Linked DNA regions of Sus scrofa. The protein of the gene in region 1 purifies or fractionates together with the protein of each later gene. This does not show direct contact. Links are inferred from orthologs where the notes say so. Each region holds a gene or a part of one and is shown on either strand. Other genes may lie near its edges. The genes, in order: USP33 and ROBO1.

What was found.
Region 2: the proteins of USP33 (region 1) and ROBO1 purify together in Homo sapiens (affinity purification with western blotting; 5 studies listed by BioGRID and IntAct, with this or other methods). This does not show direct contact. The link is inferred for Sus scrofa from reciprocal best matches to the Homo sapiens genes USP33 and ROBO1.

The regions. Positions count from the first base shown.
Region 1 is NC_010448.4:135,522,849-135,526,770, forward strand, and holds the start of USP33 (ubiquitin carboxyl-terminal hydrolase 33), read left to right. Parts: upstream 1-1,557; 5' UTR 1,558-1,753; intron 1,754-3,295; 5' UTR 3,296-3,467; coding exon 3,468-3,497; intron 3,498-3,922. UniProt on the Homo sapiens protein: Deubiquitinating enzyme involved in various processes such as centrosome duplication, cellular migration and beta-2 adrenergic receptor/ADRB2 recycling.
Region 2 is NC_010455.5:175,692,839-175,696,760, forward strand, and holds the start of ROBO1 (roundabout homolog 1), read left to right. Parts: upstream 1-1,445; 5' UTR 1,446-2,576; coding exon 2,577-2,685; intron 2,686-3,922. UniProt on the Homo sapiens protein: Receptor for SLIT1 and SLIT2 that mediates cellular responses to molecular guidance cues in cellular migration, including axonal navigation at the ventral midline of the neural tube and projection of axons to different regions during neuronal development.

The DNA.
Region 1 (3,922 bases):
TTGTGGCACAGTGGAAATGAATCTGACTAGTATCCGTGATGATGCGGGTTTGATCCCTGACCTCAGTGGGTTGCGGATCTAGCACTGCCGCGAGTTGTGGTATAGGTCGCAGACAATGTTCAGATTCCAAGTTGCTGTGGCTGTGGTGTAGGCTGGCATCTACAGCTCTGATTGGGCCCCTAGCCTGGGAATTTCCATATGCCGCAGGTTCGGCCCTTAAAATAAACAAAAAAACCCCATAGGACTCCTTTAATTCAGATAGCACTTTGTTTCAAAACATCAGGAAACAAATGATTTTCATGATCATTCTCATCTCTTTTTTTTGTTGTTGTTTGTTTTTTGGTCTATTTTGGGGGCAGCACCGTGGCATATGGAAGTTCCCAGGCTAGGGGCCCAATCGAGCTTAGCTGCCAGCGTACACTACAGCCAGGGCAACATCAGATCCGAGCCGCGTCTGCTGCATCCACCGCAGCTCTCCGCAACACCTGATCCTTAACCCACTCGGATCAAACCGGAGTCCTCATGGATACTATTTGGGTTCGTTACCGCTGAGCTACAGCAGGAACTCCATCATTCTCTTATCTCTTTAAGGAGGAGTATAAATATTTAAAAACATTTAGATATTTGATTTAAAAATTTAACCACATTGCTGACATCCTGTAGACTGCAATATTTTGAAATATGCTGATACTCAGTGAATTCAGGATAGGTGAACATTTATGATGCAAACTGAGACCTTAGTATCAGTCCCTACATAGAATGTTGACAAAGATTCCTTTCTTCCATTTTTACCAAATGAAGAGAATTAGAACCTCTCATATTTTCTACTTGTTTCAGATGGATTTTGAGCATCTTACATAACACTTGAGAAAAGCGCGCATTTGAGAGACCAAAAAGTTAGAGGTAAACAGATACTTCGAAGGTGGCAATTTTAACACTTAATTTATATTAATTTCACTGTTTTTACTGTTTGCATATCAATCACTTGAGAGAATATTAACAGATCCATGAATTAGAAGGGAGATCTCTTCCAATGCTCTAGTCACTAAGCAGGTACTAAGGTTTCAATAAATATTTGATTTGATCTTGATTTTGGCCTAAGGGAAAATGAAAGCGATGACTTTCTACTTTCTAGACGTAGAAAGCGGAACACAATGATTTTCAGAGAGTCTAGGCCCGAAGAATTTGGGAGAAGGAAGAGGAAAGGAAGGGAAAGCGTTGAATTAAGTAGTCTAACATTTCTTTGTGTAAGCTCAGAAACCTGAGGTCATTCATCGGGCAGCCGTAATGCAACTTCTGTAATGCAAGGTCGTAATGTGGTCTAGAAGAGGGGGAGAACACGTGTAAAAACGAAAGGTGCCCCAAATCTACAACTACTCTACACGGTTCCTGTGCTCCTAGCTACTTTGGAAGCCCCATTGGTGAGAGCAGCCTGGGTCCCCGCACCTGGACTCGGCGCCGTGACCACGCCCCGGAGGCGGGGCGGCCTCTCCCAGCAGCCCCGCCCCGCTCTCCCGCGACGCCCGAGGCGCCTGCGGCGGCCGCGGAGACACCGGAAGGAGCCGCGGCTGCTGCGGGAAGTGGCCGGTGCGGGAGGCGGGGACCCCGTGGGCTGAGCTGCGGAACGTTTTCCGGCGCTGTATATGCGACACCGCCCCTCTCCCAGGCAGGGGAGTAAAAGAAGAGTTGGTGGAGGAGCGGCCGCAGGCCATCGTTGGCCGCGCTGGCGGGTCCCTTGGGGAAGGCCGTGGAGGTGAGCGCGACGCTGCTGGGAGGGGCGCGGGGCCGAAGGGCGCATCGTCTGCGGCCGGGCGCTGGTCTGTGTTCTCACTCCCGCGCGGCGACGCTGTGACTGCTGTAGCGGCGTCTTTTTCTTGGTCTGGGGTGGGGGTGGTGGGTGCGCGGGCGGGTAGAAGGCCTAGGCCCTTCCAGTGCTCTGCGCTGCAAGGATGATTGGTGCCCACCCCGAGGGGGGTCGGCGGAGGACATGAGTCGGGGGTAGATTTGAGGCGGGGTCCGCAGGGTGTGCTCCCCCAGGAAGCGGAGGCAGGAGGGGTGAGGCAAGTCCCTGCGAGAGGCTCCGCTCCTTTCCTTGGTCTCCCCATTACATCTTGCCAGTCCCTCACGGCGAACGCAGAAGATTGAAACCCCGCAGCGCGCTGGCTACTGGATTCTGGTTTCGCTTTGCGGCGCAGTTGGCATGATCGGACCCATGCGTACAGCCCCAGGGGCCCCGTTATTCGTTGTTGTCAGCGGGAAGACCTGGGTATTGTCGTCCCTGGAATTTTTCTCCGACGAATATTTGATCTTGACTTTTCAGAGGCTACCCCTTGCTGTCTGGCCATCTGCAGCTTTTGTTTGAGTCAGTTTCCACGGTGTGTGTTTTCCCAGACCTTTATTCTTACATATTTACCTACTACAAAACGCTCTTCATTTGAATACTTACAGGTTGCAGGTGGAACTGTTGGATGATTCTAGGTGTTTCGCTGCACTCACGTATTTTTAGGGTTTGCTTTCTCATATAATTGGTATTAGGCCGGGAAAATTGGGCCAGAGGGGAAAAAGACTGGCAGGAGCATAGGCTCTAAACTGACGCTGAATTTTTAACCACAAGCATTTCGACTTCTTGCTCAACAGAAGAATTTTATGTAGAATTGTAGAATTTTTTAGTTTAATCAGATTATTTTTCTTTTAAGGAAAGCCTGTTTCAAAAACTGATGAGGCTATTTTAGTTCCGTTTCTGGTTGAGGCAGTTATATCATCTGGAAAGCTCTGACTAATGCGGATAATAGATTATTTGATTTGAACCTAATGCAAATATTATTAGCGACTTCATGCTATTAATATAAACAGGGGAAAAAATAGGAATCTTATTGAAAGACAATGCTAATTTTAAGAAAAAGTGGTAGTAATTGTTACATTATGCCAGGCTTTCTGTTATTTACTTTGACAGGGTTGAAAGAAAAAAGGACAGTACAAAAAATATTCCAGGAGTAAAATATCTGACCTCCTGCTGTATACAAGAGGAATAGTCTACTTAAGATTACTTCTTATTTTTGATTTGGTTTATTGCTCCTTTTCAATTTTTTTGTCTTTTCTGGCTATTTATAACCTGCCAGTAAGCAAATAACAGTGCAGTTTTAATAGCATTGGATTGTAGTAAATAATTATTCTAATCTTTATTTGAAATTCAGAGTTAAGGAGATGTCTTAGGTTTATGTATTGCCATTAGAATTCTAATGACCTTTCACATGTACAGTCTTCTTTGAGCCTTATGCCAATCCTCTTGAGTTAGGAATGCCAAGAAAAGTCTTTTCTCATGACGGAAGCATTTCGAGGTTGTGTATGGATCAGAATTTCCTTGAAGCCGGAAGTAATCTTGCTGAACAATCTTTGATATAAATTGGAATTGATATTGGAGCACTGTGAACTATAACACGTGGCAGGCTGTGGACTCTGCAAGGAAAATGAAGTACATAAATGTGAAAGATTTTTTGGTGAGAAACATGAAATGTAGTCATTTCTAAAAATAAAAGAATAAGTAACAGCTTTTATATATACATATTTTTAAAAACTTTCTAAAAAAAGTCTACATGTGACTTCAGAAGCATTTTGGCAAATAGGATAGTTCCAAAAACTCTGAGATGAGTACAATTGATTTGTCCATAAAAAGGAGCACAAATTTTGTACAATATAGTATATATCAAGAGAACTAATACTTAAGAAACATGCGTATATCAAAATAAATGTTCCTTTCAAAAGTTACTTTAGAAGGCTAAGGACTTCAATATCTATAAGTCTACCAGAGGGAAAAAAAAGCTCTTTGGAAAAGAAAAGAATGAAACATGGTTTATTTCCTTAAAGAATTTAGAGTCAGGTTTGTAGTCAAGTAGGGTAGTTTTTTACACAACTACAGTAAAGT
Region 2 (3,922 bases), on another chromosome or scaffold:
AAATCAATGCACACTGCATATTTATAATTGCTCCCTCTTGATGATCTCCTAATTCTCATGACCTGAAAGTTAATAGAGCTTTCACTAATGTAGTGTGGATTATAGAGACTAAGATGCTGCTTTCATTTCATGGTTATAATTGACTTTAACTGAAAGAGAATAAATGTAAGCAGGATTTCCTATTTATTTCTAACACCTTGTAATGCTAATGATCAACGAAAGCAAATGACAGCATATAAATAAATACACATTTAGAGAATAAAAGAAGTTATCCTGGCTCTTTAAAGTCATATTTTAATTTAAAAACTTACTGGCTCAAATTAATATCCATAATGTAAGAGAAAATGGACTATCATTCAACAAACTTTTGGTGATTTTCTTTTATGTACAGAAATTATTACTGAATTTAGGACTATAAAGAGACTATAAGACAGTCAGGCCCACAACAAGCTATGTTCCTCCTGTTGAACACACAGGTGCATGGGCACGTTTACACACATACACACACATACACACACATACACACATAAACTCTAAAATAATTGCTGAGATCTCTGCTTCTAGGTGAATAAGTCATGAGAAAAATGGATAATTATGCCTGAGAAAGTCTGAGAAGATAAACTCTCTTAAAGCTATTACACATTAATAGGATTATATAAAGTAGAGATGGGTAAAAGTTATTTCAAGGAGAAAGATAATATGTAAGAAGACCTGACAGTCTGGAAAGTTCATGGTCTTTTGGAGAATGCGAATGTTCCTAGCATGACTTGATTTTATAGTTCATAGTAGGAATCGGAGGGGGAAAAAAAACCTTTCTTTAATAGCCCTAGAAATTCAGACATTTTCTTCTCTTATGATTCCACAGAAAATTGCATATGTATTTTCACTGCATTTTTCATATCACATGAAAAATTGTCTGTTTAATGTCTGTCTAATCTATGAGATTATTTTATGGATATTTTCTGTTGATAATATATCTGATATATTATTGGCATTTAAGGAATGCTTCTTGAATCAAAGAGTCTGAAAAATTTAAATTAGAACCAGATTCAGAACACTCTGCTTTATATGACTGGTTAAGAATTTTACAGTTGTGATATTTTTCTTTAATAATTAGGAGATTCCTCATTATAGTTTGAATTTCTAGCTTCTATTTAAAAATTAAAACATCTGGCAACCCAGAGTCTACAATTCACATAGCAATGCTGACCTGGAGTTGAGTGGCAGTAACCACCCATCACAAAGGCTTTCTCTGTGCAGAGCCACAATCCCCACCTCTCTCTCTTGTCTTCCACTGAGCCTCTTTCACCTGTTTATATTACCTGCTTGGCTGCTGTAGGACTTTTTTTTCCCCCTCCTCTACTGCAGTATAGGCGACTGACAGTAAACAGCACATTCTCAGGTATGTGTTTTAGAAATATGTTTTGGCAGCTGTGTGAGCTATTTAATTAGGTCAGGTTGTAGAATATCATTATGTGTTTAGCAGTATCTTAAAATAGCTTTATATGCTTGTTAAAATAAATGTATTATATTATTGTTATATAATGCTCTTAGAAGCAACACATTTTTATTTTTTTAAAAAATAAATTTTGTCATGAAGTGAAGGCAAGCTTCTCATGTTGGTACAGTGTCGTTCCAAAATAATCAAGACAATGTTGCAATTTGCCTACGGGAAATAGACTTGTTTGTAAAACAGAGAAGTCTAATTTGTGAAAAAAATCTGCTCCGCTCATGAGGTGATAAAAATCATTCTGCAGGAAATAGAAGAGATGGAATATACCAACATGTACTTTATAAAGCAAACAGCTGTTTGTGTTGCAGTGCAGAGGATCCTTGAATGTGCAATGTACATTACATTTCCCTCTTCCATGGCTTTGGGATATTTTTGGCAAATTGTCTTTTTACATTATTCTTTGAATATATAATTTACACAGTACAAGCTAAGTAGTAAAGATGATGGTTTACCACTTCCCTTTGCAGAGGTATTTTTATCATGTCTTGGCAGAGATATTTATACATCTAATCCCTTCTACAAGACATTAGATAGAGCTTCGAGAAAAACTCGAATTTTTTTTTCTTTCCTTAACAACCACCTCTGTTTGAAATGAGGTGTGTTTGCAGTGCCAAAATTAAATATTCAGATTCGTCAAGTACTATAATCTGTGGTACAGAATGGGTAGGAGGGAAAAAGCTGAAATCTCAGCGTTTTCCTGTTATCATGTTATGAAAAATGTTGACAAACATTTGGAACAAGTGAGAGTTGGCAGGAGCAGGTTAGGAACTGGTAGCTGCAGAAGAGACCAGAGAAAATTGTCAGCTCATCTTTCCTGACATTTTGCTTATGTGTAGAGGGAGCTTTTACATCCCTTCTAATTTTTTTTTTTTAATTCCCTACATAATTCAAATGGAAAGCCTGATGAGACCATACCTGCTTTTTTAAAATTTATGGGAAAAACAGCCTTTTTGCATTTCTGCTGAATAAAATGACAGGATTGGCTCCAGGGTTTTCTACTCCCAGCAAAAGCCTTCAGGTTTGTCTGTGACAGGACTCTCCATAGAGGTTATTTTTACCTGGCATGGCTGTGCTGTTACTGATGCTGCTGCTCTCGATGGCAGAAATAACTTCTCCTGTGGGTGTCTCAGGCAGAATGAAAGCTGGATCAAGGTGGAGAGGTGAAAAGAATCGTGAGTAAACAGGAATTTTTACTCTTGGTGCATTTCTTTCTTTCCTCTTTATATTTAGGAATGTATCGGGTCTGCCTAGCTTTGCAGTTCACAGGATTTCCAAGAGGTTGTTTTAAGACTTCGGAAGAATTTTACACATTAAATATGCATGCAGAATAAATGGACTCAACCTTCTCTAGGCTCCACACATCTGCAATATTGTTCTGGATTTCCTTGCAAGACTTTTGTTTGGCTTTTCTAGTTAACTCTTACAATTCCTGAGACTGTAAAGACTTTGAGTAGATAGAAGCCAAAGGCCATATATGTAAGTTAACCTCAGCTCTTCTGTATAAAGTTCAAATAAGTTGCTCGTATTTGTTGATATTCAAATGCTAGCTACGTAATACACTTTTTTACATATAAGCATTTTGTTCTGATGTTGGCAAGAAAGGAAATTTAGAAATAGCAAATGTCATAGGCACTCTGATTTGAATCACTTAAGAGTCTGTGCTTTGCAATTGGGAATTGCTGGTTGATAAATATATTACTCTTTAGAGTCACTAACTTCCTTATTCTCTCCCTATGGACATGCAAGACCATTTCACTATTAAATGTGTTTATATGTTTAAGGCATATGGTATTTAAACTACTATTTCAGTTTTAGAACTGAATCTGTTTCTGGTATCATTATAGAAGAAGGAAATGGATTTGGCATTTGTTTCCCTCAGAACTAATTGGCCAGATCCAGCTACTGGCTTTTCTCCCTTTTACCCTCCCAGATGGTAGAAGGGTCGTGTGTGTGTGTGTGTGTGTGTGTGTGTGTGTGTGTAGAAAGCTTAGAAGTAGCTATATTCCTATCTCCAAGATAGAAGAGGTAGATGCATTCCTCTTCTCTTTAACTCTCTTCAAAAAAAGGATGTAGAGATGAACCAAGGAATCTCTTTGGAAAAGGGGAATGTTTCAAAATATTGTTGAGTGCTCAGAAGAGGCAATGCCAATGAACCTATTTTACTGAAACTCCAATTTAGAAGATTCAAGTAGCCTTAGAGCTAATGGCTATAATTATGACTTTTGCTTTAATCATGCCTTTGGCTCATTTACCATTTTGTTTTACTGTCATGAAATGATCTGATGGATAGATCAATGGGAACTGTAAGCCTGATAAGCTGGGAAAGTTATAGGTTTAATTTAGCTTTCACCTGAATTTCTCAGTAATCAATTATTATGGCCTTTTATCTTCCTTCCTCTTTCTCCTTTC